Linked DNA regions of Macaca fascicularis. The protein of the gene in region 1 purifies or fractionates together with the protein of each later gene. This does not show direct contact. Links are inferred from orthologs where the notes say so. Each region holds a gene or a part of one and is shown in the gene's direction. Other genes may lie near its edges. The genes, in order: TCEAL1, KDM3A and USP11.

Region 1 (3,928 bases):
TAAGAAGGCATAGTGAAACTTGGTTTTAAAGACGCATGCCACAGAGAAGTTGGAAAGTAAAACAGTTATAAAGAAGATATGAAGGTAAACTAATATTTGTCTAACTGCCATCTCAACACAAAATTAATTAGATGTTGGAGAAAAGCAACAGTTCTTAAAAGGGGAAATTTCACATGAATTTCTGTTCAGAAACTTACTAAACAGCCTGGCTTTAAAACAAAATCTCAGGATCCTCACAGATCAGATGGCCATCTACCCTGGAAGTGTAAAACACAGAGGGAAGGGAAGTAGTATGCTCTGTGGAGGAAAGAGCATCTGCATAAGAAAGTAGCATCCAGGCTGATGTGAGTAGGTGAGAGGCAGGCATAAGGTTAAAGATCATAAAATACCATTAGATAAAAAAAATACATAATGCAGTGACAATTGACAATGCTAGCATGATTGTAGTCCTGCTACTCAGTATGTGGTCAACAGAATTATTGCATAGTTTAATACGGAATGCCCTCCCTGCTGCATCTACCTTTTGGGGTCCAGCAGTCCCAGAACTCAAATATTTGTCAATTTAGTGAATTAATATAAACTTCCTCAACCAGAAGCACCAAGAGGTGGCTGGTTAAGGATTGAGAGTCCCAGTAAAATCTATTTATTCTATTATAAATAACTACTGATCTATATATATATATGTGCACATGTAAATATAAGTTATTTAATATATAATATATTCAGTGTGTATACATGCATATATATGTGTGTATACACACACGGACAAATGCGTATTTGATTTACAAAAATTAAAGTATTCATTCTTTTTAGATCTACAAACTTTACAAACTTAACTCTTTCTAGAGGTCTAGAACTGAATGATTACCAATTTAGGTCTGGGGGCTCAAAAAAACAAAATGTGATGTCAAGAAAAAGTGAAAGATTGTCTCCCATGAAAGTGACAAGAGATGAAAACATGCTGAAAGAGCCTAAATGGACATGATGGAGATATGGATGTGGATTAAAACTGAGAGTGTTGGGATATAAGGATATAATACTGATTTATGAAGGTGAATAGTCAAATGTCAGTGCAGAATCTGAACTGCAGGGGAAATAAGGGGCCTTGGTGGCTAAGAAGTGAGGAGGAGAGAAAGAGGTGGTACCAGGGGAAGTAGCACAGAGGAAGAGGCAATACTACCCGAGACTAGATGCGGACCGTCTCTGGCAACCAGGAAAAGGCAAATACAAAGAGAGGTGAGTGACAATGCCTGGTGTGTCTGGGGTCAGGGAACACTAGCAGGCACTAGCAGGTGGCTGCGGCAAGGCCGCGGGTCAAAGTGGTAACTGGGGATCTGAGTTCGGCAGTGACGCGCGTCCCTCACGTGACCAGGAGCCTATGTCTGCCCAAGTCCCTCTCGTCCCGGTCTTTTTTTGCCTGTCCACCATCTCCCTATTACCTTTGGTCGAGAGGGAAAGCAGAAGGAAGTAAGTTCCCTCTACCCTCTTAAATCGGTGTGAGTGTCGGCGCTGCCTAGTAACCCGGGGAATGGGGTTGACAGAATCGGGATGGCGGAGTCCAGGCCTTTCCCTACGCTCCAGCCCCGCCTCCCGCGCCCATATTTCTGTGCAAAATATGGTGGTCTTGGGGGCGGGGTGGGAAGGCGAGTGCTTCCCCCGTCCCTCGGGAGGGAGGTACAGACACTTGGAAATAGTTTCTAAGAATGCTTCGCTTCCACTTCCCATCTGAAAAGAAATGGCAAGCTTTGCGGGGTGGGGAGGTGCGGGCACGGAGGACGAAGCTTTAAGCAGGGTCTGAGACTAGAGGAGAACCCGAGGGGTGGGGGGCGTGCAGGCAGTGGCTGGTGCCCAGAAAGTGGGGGATGGGGGGTGTCAGTCAGTCCGTCCCTCCTCCCCACTCCCCGCCCCCTACCCTGTCTTGCGTCTGTGTGCAGGTCTGCTGGTCACAGCGGGGCACCTCGAGGAGAGGACGACTAGAAGCACACGGCCCGGAAAGGTCCAGGTCAGGGAAGGGGTACGCAGTGGACCGGGACTGGGGCGCGAGGGTGGACGCCGAAAGGCATGGAGTCTGCAGGCCGCACTGTCCCGCCAGTCACTGCGGGCGAGGCCTGTAGCAAAGCCTGCTGGGAAAATGGTGGGCTTTCGGGAAGGAGGGGGCGACTGGGAAGCGGCGGAGTCGGGAGAGCCGGAGAGCCTCTGGGAAAGCGCAAGGTTGAGGGCCTGGGCCCCGAATCAGGAAAAGGCAGGTATTGGAACCCACGGTTTGGGTGTTAGTCCAGTCACTTAGTATTCTGACTCTATTCTGCCTTTCTTGTCTCCTAAGAATAACTGTGCTTGAAGAAGAAAATTCCCAGCATGGACAAACCACGCAAAGAAAATGAAGAAGAGCCGCAGAGCGCGCCCAAGACCGATGAGGAGAGGCCTCCGGTGGAGCACTCTCCCGAAAAGCAGTCCCTCGAGGAGCAGTCTTCGGAGGAGCAGTCCTCGGAGGAGGAGTTCTTTCCTGAGGAGCTCCTGCCTGAGCTCCTGCCTGAGATGCTTCTCTCGGAGGAGCGCCCTCCGCAGGAGGGCCTTTCCAGGAAGGACCTGTTTGAGGGGCGCCCTCCCATGGAGCAGCCTCCTTGTGGAGTAGGAAAACATAAGCTTGAAGAAGGAAGCTTTAAAGAAAGGTTGGCTCGTTCTCGCCCGCAATTTAGAGGGGACATACATGGCAGAAATTTAAGCAATGAGGAGATGATACAGGCAGCAGATGAGCTAGAAGAGATGAAAAGAGTAAGAAACAAACTGATGATAATGCATTGGAAGGCAAAACGGAGCCGTCCTTATCCTATTTAATGTGTTCGCCCTTTAATTCTGTTTTGCCTGCTAATAGTATTGCCATTGCCACCTGGACTTTCTGTGCGTTTTCTTAATGCCTTTTCCCATATTCTGAATTTTAACTTTTTGTGAGGATTTATTTTAGATGTTTAGCTTGTAACTCGCTTAAAGTTGGGGTTTCCCCCTAAAATTTACAAGTTTCCCTCTTTCAATCATAAGTTATATACATTTGCATGAAAGATGTACATTATATATTGTGAAACGAAAAAAGCAATTTTCAAATGGTATATATTGTATCCCATTTTTGTAAAAAATGTATATTTATATATTAATATGCAAAGAAAAAACAAAGTATATACTTCAAAGGTATAACAGTGGTTGTGTGGTAAGATAATAGGTGATTTTTAAAAATTTTGCTTTATCTGAATTTCTCATTTTTTCAAGACAAACATTTTACTTGTGTTGCAAAAATATATAATGAAAAAATCACCCAATTTTGAAAAAAACTGTCAATCAGCTTATAAAGACAATGTGGCACTTAATAAATACTTGTCAGAACTTAAAAAAAAAGTGAATCCTATGTTTTTTTCTGAATCTCTTAGGCACAAATATAAGCCAGATATTGATTATATTTAATAGTCATTTTGTTCTCATTTAAATAGGAATAATACTTGCTTTACAGTGCTGCTGTGGGACCGGATGAGAAAAAGATTGTGTGAGCTGTGTTTGGGGTCTTTATTCCACCTGCACAGGCAGGACCCCAACCCCTATAGATTCCCTGCAGACATAGGCAGGGTACCCAAAGGAGATCTCACTTGTGCTCACAAACAATTCCGGTGAGATTCCAAGTGAGTGCCACATTCTATTCATGTCCTGCTGTACTCTCAGATTCTTACAGTATCTGCTAGGCACTGCTGCTCCTTCTCCTGGGTCCTGATCCTTCCACTGGCTCTCATCCCTGCTGACATGCTGGAGTGCTTAAGGTACAAAGCCTCACTGATTGCTCTGGAGTCCCTGTTGGGCCCAAGCTGAATTGTATCTCCTGCAGATATATGAATGCCCTTTTTCCAGCTTTGATATTGCACTTAGCTAGGAGGCTACCATCCCAATG
Region 2 (3,647 bases), on another chromosome or scaffold:
GTGACTCCATATAACTCATCACCCAGTTATATAAGAGCTTTCAACTTTTTGCCATAATTGTTTCATTGTCTCCTCTCCTTAAATTTTTTCATCATCCTCTCATCTATACTATGATTTCATTCTAATACCAAATGCTTTACCTATTCCTAGGGCTGATATTTCAGCAAGCTGGAAAGAAAAAGTACAACAGGGTTCTGGGGCTCTGGTCCCAAGTTGGAATGAAGAAATGTGCCCTCTCAAAAGTATAGCCCCTCTAAAACCACAGCCCCAGGCAAGCCAGAGATAAAGTCTTCCTCCAAAACAGTATTGCGGGGCGTTTGCAGAGGCCAGCAGGTTAGAAAACAGCTGCTGCTTGCTCACTACAAGCTGTGCTTCTCTCTACTGCCCAGCCTAAGAAGCAGAGTCCTAGTGTTAGAATGGCTTGCCCAAGGTGACTGCAGGGTAAGCTTCAGGATGATTGCTGAGCAAGGTGAGCCTTCTCCTGTGAGCAAGGAATTAGCCACAGACTATGAACACTGGAGGGACTTGTCATTCCGCATCACTCCTCACCCCTCCTCTTTTACAGTTGAGAGAACCAAGGAATGCGTTGGGCAGTGTTCCTTCTTATACTTGTGATAGCCATTTGAGGTTCCAGGTTTATGTGTGTGTGTGGGTGGGGGCTTTCCCTTGGACTCCCCATCTTGAGTGGTCCTTGGGCTTTGCCTCTTGTCCCAGAGCTCCTAGGCTGTGGCAATAATCAGAGCCTGAGCTCACTTGATTTAGCAGATGTCCTTTTGGCAAATCCCACCTTCAGAAGCCTGCTTTACCACTTCCATTTCCTCCTGTTTTTGGCTTCTGAGTATTCCTTCTTTTCTTGCTAGCACATTGATTGGTTAAAGATTTTTTTTTGCAATAGTTTGATCCAGAATTTTTATTCTCAGCAGAAGAGTCAATCAGGGACCTACCATCCCCCAGGTAGTGGAAAGACTATGGCAGCCTTTGTTGTCTTCCGTAAACTTAAGGCACTTTGTTTTTGCAGGATTAATCACTCCTGAAGATCGGAAATATGGAACAACAAATCTTCACTTAGATGTATCTGATGCAGCTAATGTCATGGTCTATGTGGGAATTCCCAAAGGACAGTGTGAGCAAGAAGAAGGTAGGGTGCTGAGCATAAAAGGAGGGCTTACTCTTTGAGCCAGGGCCTGTGGTCTGATATTTGCTTTCTCTTCTTGCTCTAGAAGTCCTTAAGACCATCCAAGATGGAGATTCTGACGAACTCACAATAAAGCGATTTATTGAAGGAAAAGAGAAGCCAGGAGCACTGTGGCACATATATGCTGCGAAGGACACGGAGAAGATAAGGGAATTTCTTAAAAAGGTGTGCTTTTTATGGCATGTGTGAACAGAGGAATAGAGAATACCAATATTACGTTACATGTGGTGAACTGACTGGCTTGGCTAGGGGAACTGTCACGACCTGAAAAGTTAAATCTGTACCTGTCAGATTGAATAGGCTGAAGGTGGTTGCTAAGGAACAAGGATTCTAAATGATTAGGGTTACACTTCTTAAAAAAAGCAGGCCTTGTCTTTTATGGCTGTGTTTTGTGTTAGAGTGCATTTAGAAATTTTTGTTCTCTGCTTTCAAGTTAGTTCATCTGATCATCTCCCAGCATCTATTTGTTTTTACTGCCTTAAGAATCTGAGCACTTCAGAGGTGCATGTATCCTTGGCCCTGAGTGACCATGTTCTTGAGTGAGTTACTAAGTTTGGTTTTGTCCACTCTCATGTAGCAAGTGACCCTACTTGTCATTAGCAAGGGATGCAGGGATTCAGAAGATTCTAGGTTTCCCCTGTCGTTGGCCGGTTTTTTCAGCAAGGGCTATGTGTGGAAATTCTAGGCAACTAGAAAGATGAGACATGTTCAGTTTTAAACTTGTTTGGCACTGAGGCTGCCAGTTGCAACCCAGGTGTCTTTGGCTGATATGCTTCAGTCATTCACGAGTCTTGGATATGAACATTCCTAACCTGTTAGCTGGCCCCAAGTATGTCTTTAACAAGCATTTGTTTGAATCAAGGTGTTTCTGGCTAAGGATCATTTGGCTCTTGCAGAAAACTGGCTTGGTCACCATATTGTTCCTTTGATATTGTCACTCTGAGTCTCTGCTTTACCAGTTACTGGATCAAGGATAAACAAGTCTAATCTGCAGCTGTCTTCGGGACTGTTTCATAAGTCAGATTAAGTGAAGACAAGTTTCTGATAACTTTAAAACAAGTTCATTTATAAGGAGCCTGAGCCTACTTATGTTTAAAAGTCTAGACTAAAATATTGTTTAAATACAGTATTTACAAACTTACACAGAGCCTGCCAGTCATGGTTTATGGGAACTGACATCAGAGAAGCCACATTTTCCTCGTCCTTCTTCTGTTGGTTCATTCAGCTGAAGTCTTCCAGTACTACTTGTCTTTTTCTGCCAATGGGGGCACTTAAGTTGAAGAAGGCCTGACATTTATGAACTGCCAACACTGTTTAGAGGAAAAAAATGGCTTATTGGGCCTTAGCATGTTACTGTTGCATAACATTTTGGGTGTATTCTAGGTGTCAGAAGAGCAAGGTCAAGAAAACCCAGCAGACCACGATCCTATTCATGATCAAAGCTGGTATTTAGACCGATCATTAAGAAAGCGTCTTCATCAAGAGTATGGAGTTCAAGGCTGGGCTATTGTGCAGTTTCTTGGGGATGTGGTGTTTATCCCGGCAGGAGCTCCACATCAGGCAAGAATCATTACTTTTTCTTTATTCTCTTTATAGTGTGAACTTTTGGGTTACTGATATCACTTGCTGTTTTTCAGGTTCATAACTTGTATAGCTGCATCAAAGTGGCTGAAGATTTTGTTTCTCCAGAGCATGTTAAACACTGCTTCTGGCTTACTCAGGAATTCCGCTATCTGTCACAGACTCACACCAATCATGAAGATAAATTACAGGTAAAAATAGCACCAATTCCTAGCATTCTCTGGCTATGGCTTCATGGCCCATTCTTGACCTTATAAAGAGAGTCAGTGGACTTGGCCATATCATACTTAGTAGCACAGTGAGTTGATGAACTTACTTTATATCTAGTACCACTATCTGCTTAAGTGAGGGAGGAACAAGAGGAAATCTCACCTTGGTTTGATTTGATATTGTTTAGAATCTGTAAGGAACTGTCCCCACAGAGAAAGGCCTTAGTACTGAAAATGAATAGATTTGTCTTCTGATCTTGGCCCAGCTGCCTGTCAGGGGTCATGAATACAGTTCTTAACCTTCAGTGCTGCAGTGTTCTCATCACCCTTAGGTAGAGCAGAACTGAGTCTCTCAGACTGAAAGAGGTCTGAAGGGGTGGTTTTTTCAAAAGGATTTCAGTAATGAATTATGTAACATAATTTCATGTTTGGAAAATTAGGGAAAAATAATAAAGCTGTACCTTGGAATTGCCTCTCCCTGTACTCACTGTGAGTAGGTCTACGTGGCATCAAAACCTTTAAAAGGGGGAAAATGAGCTTTTTAAGTTCTTGAAATCATGGGTTTAAAATGTATATGAAATACTGGTCTGAAGGAGCCCAGGGACCTTGACAGTCTTGACATTTCATACGAATATTGAATTTTAAATTCTGCGAGAAGGTAA
Region 3 (4,303 bases), about 63 Mb from region 1:
ACTGGGCTTAAAGAGCAGCTATCTGCCATGTGTCTGACTCAACTCAAATGCCACTTTCTTTGGGGACCCTTAAGTGAAAGGGCTGCTCCCTTACCTCACCCAGCGCTTACAAAACTGACCCCTCATCTATGCCAGGTCTGGGCTGGGGGCTGGAATCAGAGTAATAAAGACACAATCCCTGCCCCGCAGAGGTTAACTGAAAATAGGTAAATTACGAGATTGTGAGGGGGAAGGGAGGTTCGAAATTAAAGTCATCACCAACAGGGCTGGCAGCCCTGGCAGAGAAAAGAATAGCATAGCCTAGTGCAGTGGTCCTCAATCAGAGACATTTTTCCCCCAAAGGACATTTGGTAATGTCTGGAAACACTTGGTTGTCCTGAGGGGTACTACTTGGTATCTAGTAGGTAGAGGCCAGGGATGCTGCTACACATCCTGCAATGCCCACAACAAAGAAATGACAGTGCTGAGGTTGAGAGACCCTGGCCTAGTGCAAGACTTCTCAAACTCTGGGCCTCGGGATTCCTTTATGTTCTTAAAAGTTTAAGACATTCAAAAGAGTTCTTGTTTATGTCATATAGCCTCTGGATTCAGAAGCCTCTAGATAATTACACTGTACACCCCTGAGAGAATGAGAGTGAAAAAGTATTGTGAAAATAGTTTTCATTTTGTGAACCCCCAAGAGGAGTTTTGGACCGGTAGACAGGCTGGGACCACACGGTTGGAGAATGTTTGACCTGGTGTTTAAGGTCACAGCTCTGGAACGAGATTTCTCAAGTTTAAACTGCAGCTCCATCACTTATTAGCTGAGGGACATTTCTGGTACTCAGCGTCCAGTTGTTACCCATGGGTGATAAGGACAGTACCTGCTGCCTGAGGCTACTATTTTAGTCCAACAAAGCACTTAAACTGGGCGGACAGCTAGTTTAGTTATGATTGCTATGACTCCAACAAACATAGGGCCTGGGGCTAACTTGCCTTCAACACCTTGTCTAGTGAATAAATCTAGTTCAGGAAGAGAAACAATGACCCGCAGGCCTAGGTGGGTCTCTGGAGGTGGAAACCTCTTTTGCATTGGGTTTTGATGGTTAAGGGTAGTACAATGAAGGGCATTCTGATCAGGCTAACAAACGCTGCTCCCAGGGTAGGAGTCCTCGCCCACCTCGGGAACCTCAGCCTCCACTTTCCATGCCACCTGTGCCCTAACTCTACAGGGCGTTGGAACCCCACAAGGCACTTTTGTCTTTCTTGGTTCCCACTGAAGATTTTACCCCACCTAACCCTTCGACGCGTCTGTGCGCGGGGCCATTTCCAATATGGCAGTAGCCCCGCGACTGTTTGGGGGGCTCTGCTTCCGTTTCCGGGACCAGAATCCGGAAGTGGCTGTTGAGGGGCGTCTTCCAATCTCGCACAGCTGCGTTGGCTGTAGAGGAGAACGGACAGCGATGGCGACGGTCGCAGCAAATCCAGCTGCTGCTGCGGCGGCTGTGGCGGCGGCGGTGGCGGTGGCTGAGGATAGAGAGCCACAGCGCGAGGAGCTGCCAGGCCTAGACAGCCAGTGGCGCCAGATAGAAAACGGCGAGAGTGGGCGAGAACGTCCACTGCGGGCCGGCGAAAGCTGGTGAGGCTGGGCTGCGGTGAAGCCTCGGCAGAGGGGACAGTGGGGGCATTGACAACCGCTGGAGATTCGGCGGCCGAGGGCGGCGGGAAAGCTGCTGCGGGGTGCGGGGGCGGGGGAGTGGCCGACGGGACAGCGGGCTAAAGGGGCGGGGAAGTGTCTTTGAATGAATCGCAACGTCTGGAAAAGGGGCGGGGCCTGTGTGGTGCAGTCTGACGCCTGAGAACAAAATGGGGTTTGTTGTGATGAGACCGGTTTCAGCCCTGGAGGTGGGGCCGGGCCTGCGTAGTGAAACTGCGTAGGAACCTGGGAGGAAGGTGGGTTCTGCGATGTAAGGCGGGGGCGCGGCCTGCGCTGCGTAATGCAACTTTTGGGGGCGGGGAGCGGTCTCCGATTGCTCTGGCGTGGCTGGGAACGAGGCGAGCTTTGTGACGTCAGCAGAAGAGCGGGATGGAGCCGAACGGTCCGAGGGAGGGAGCGGGGACCTGCGTGGGGGAGGAGCTTGGAGCCTGGGAACGAGGTTAGGTTGGTGACGTGAGCCGAGGGGCGTGTTCTGAGGCCGAGGGACGACAGTGGAGGGGAGGTGGTTCCTATAAGGCAGAAAATGGCGCCTGCGAATAAGCAAAGTTTATAATGCGCAGAGGTTTTTTATTCTGGCAGAAGCCTTCCTGAGTCGAGAGAACGTGCAAGTGATTAGCACGGGAGGGGCCTTCCATGTTCAATTGATTTTCTGTCTTGGTACTGTTTTGGTTTTAGAATCAAGAAAAAGTCGTTTTTTTTAAAAACCGATAATTTTGATAAATCGGCTTGTTTTACTGATTTCTTGCTAAACAGTGCTTCTTGAGATTTACTGCTTCTGGGTTCATTTTATTTCTGGCCGAGTTGCATCTGGTTTTTTAATTGTGAAATACGTAAGACCTAAGAAGATTGTATAAAACATTTACGCAGCCCAGATTGACGGACATCCTTTTAAAATAAACGGCTACACTCTTCAAAAATGTCAGGGTCGTGAAAGACAAAGGCTGAAGAACTGTTCTAAATTGAAGGAATTAATGCGATTTAACGAGTCATGATAACTAAATGCAACATGTGATCCTCGATTGGATCCTGGAACAGAAAAAAAAAATTATTTTAAAAATCAATTTTTTATCATAAGATTATTTTTGTCTCTTTTACTGTAAAAGGCAATGGAAACATCGGTGAAATTTTATTAAAGTGGGTAGATATTAGTACTACTAATTTCTTAATTGTGATCATTGTGGCATGAAAAAGAATACCCTTGTTTATAGGAAATGCTGAAAAATTTAGGGATAAGAACTCATTGTGTAAGCAGTTTATTCTCAAATGCCTGAAAAATTAGCATATATAAATTTATATGTGGTGAGGGGAAAGGGGAAATTAGGGAGATGTTGGTCAAAGGATACAACATTTCAGTTAGACAAGAAGAATAAGTTCAGATCTATTGTACAACTATAGTTAATAAATTCATTGTATACTTGAAAATTGCTGAGAGATTTTACATGTTCTACCACCCCCCAGAAAATTGATAAGTATGTGACGTAATGGATGTGTTAATTGCCTTGACTTAGTCATTCCACAATGTATACATAAGTCAGAACTTCATGCTGTACACCATAAATATATACCATTTTTGTCCATTTTTAAATAAATAAAAATACCAAAAAAGAATGCATGTAAAGAAACAACGATTGAGCAAATGGGTAAAATATTAGATTTGGAGGATCTGGATGTGGGATATGTGGGAATTCTCTGTATTATTTTTGCCATTTTTCTCAATCTATTTCAAAGTTTAAAAATTAAATAATAATTAAATAAAAACGTGTGAATTCACCATCCAGGTTAAGATTCAGAACACTGTCTTGAGAAATCCTTCTTTGCCCCTCCCAGATGGAAATTCCCCTCCTTGCTCCATGGGAAACTGTTATCCTGAATTTTGAGTTAACAGTCTCTTCCTTTTCTTTAATGTTTGACCACAACTGTATGCATCCCTAAGTAGTATGTAATGTCTAAGCTTTCACTTTATACATATATGGAATATATATATAAAATTCTACTGGATGCATACTGTGAGCCCTTCTCTTCCTATCAGGTGATACATGGTATCCACATGACATCATTGGTGATGTTAACCTTGATCACTTGGTTATGGTAGTGTTGGCCAGGTTTCTCAACTGTAAAAGTACCGTTTTCCTCTTTACGTACGCAATAATTGTTTTTAAAACATGTATCATGTCCAACCATTCCTCAAAATACCCCTAACAGCTTCCCATCTCTTGCAACGTAGATGCTAAAATCCTTACAGTGAATCGTAAGACTTTATGAAGCTGGTCTCCAGCTTGCATTCTGATGTCTTCCCAGATCTCTCCTCTGATTACGCACTCCCTCTCTGTCTCCATCCAGGCCGGCCATATTGGACTCTTGCTGTTCCTCAAACACATCTAACCTTAGGGCTTTTTCGAGTGAGGTTTACTCACTACAGAGTTCTTTAATAACCACACCAGTGAAATGCGTATCTCTGTTACTGGGGAGATGAGTTGAGATTTTCCAGATCGGGAATACAAACCCAAGCCGTGTTTTTCTGCCATTACGTCATACCTTTCCTACAAGAAAAAGCCTCATTTCATCCTGAGAATAAACAAAATAACCACAATGTTTTATAACCCATTT

The links.
Region 2: the proteins of TCEAL1 (region 1) and KDM3A purify together in Homo sapiens (affinity purification with mass spectrometry; 3 studies listed by BioGRID and IntAct, counting the BioPlex papers as one, with this or other methods). This does not show direct contact. The link is inferred for Macaca fascicularis from reciprocal best matches to the Homo sapiens genes TCEAL1 and KDM3A.
Region 3: the proteins of TCEAL1 (region 1) and USP11 purify together in Homo sapiens (affinity purification with mass spectrometry; 4 studies listed by BioGRID, counting the BioPlex papers as one, with this or other methods). This does not show direct contact. The link is inferred for Macaca fascicularis from reciprocal best matches to the Homo sapiens genes TCEAL1 and USP11.

The regions. Positions count from the first base shown.
Region 1 is NC_088395.1:110,002,326-110,006,253, forward strand, and holds TCEAL1 (transcription elongation factor A protein-like 1), read left to right. Parts: upstream 1-1,407; 5' UTR 1,408-1,467; exon of another isoform or gene 1,468-1,738; intron 1,739-1,912; exon of another isoform or gene 1,913-1,934; 5' UTR 1,935-2,242; intron 2,243-2,323; 5' UTR 2,324-2,355; coding exon 2,356-2,835; 3' UTR 2,836-3,387; downstream 3,388-3,928.
Region 2 is NC_088387.1:35,095,288-35,098,934, reverse strand, and holds part of KDM3A (lysine-specific demethylase 3A), read left to right. Parts: intron 1-1,018; coding exon 1,019-1,138; intron 1,139-1,220; coding exon 1,221-1,360; intron 1,361-2,578; coding exon 2,579-2,755; intron 2,756-2,832; coding exon 2,833-2,967; intron 2,968-3,647. UniProt on the Homo sapiens protein: Histone demethylase that specifically demethylates 'Lys-9' of histone H3, thereby playing a central role in histone code.
Region 3 is NC_088395.1:47,339,007-47,343,309, forward strand, and holds the start of USP11 (ubiquitin carboxyl-terminal hydrolase 11), read left to right. Parts: upstream 1-1,422; 5' UTR 1,423-1,442; coding exon 1,443-1,618; intron 1,619-4,303.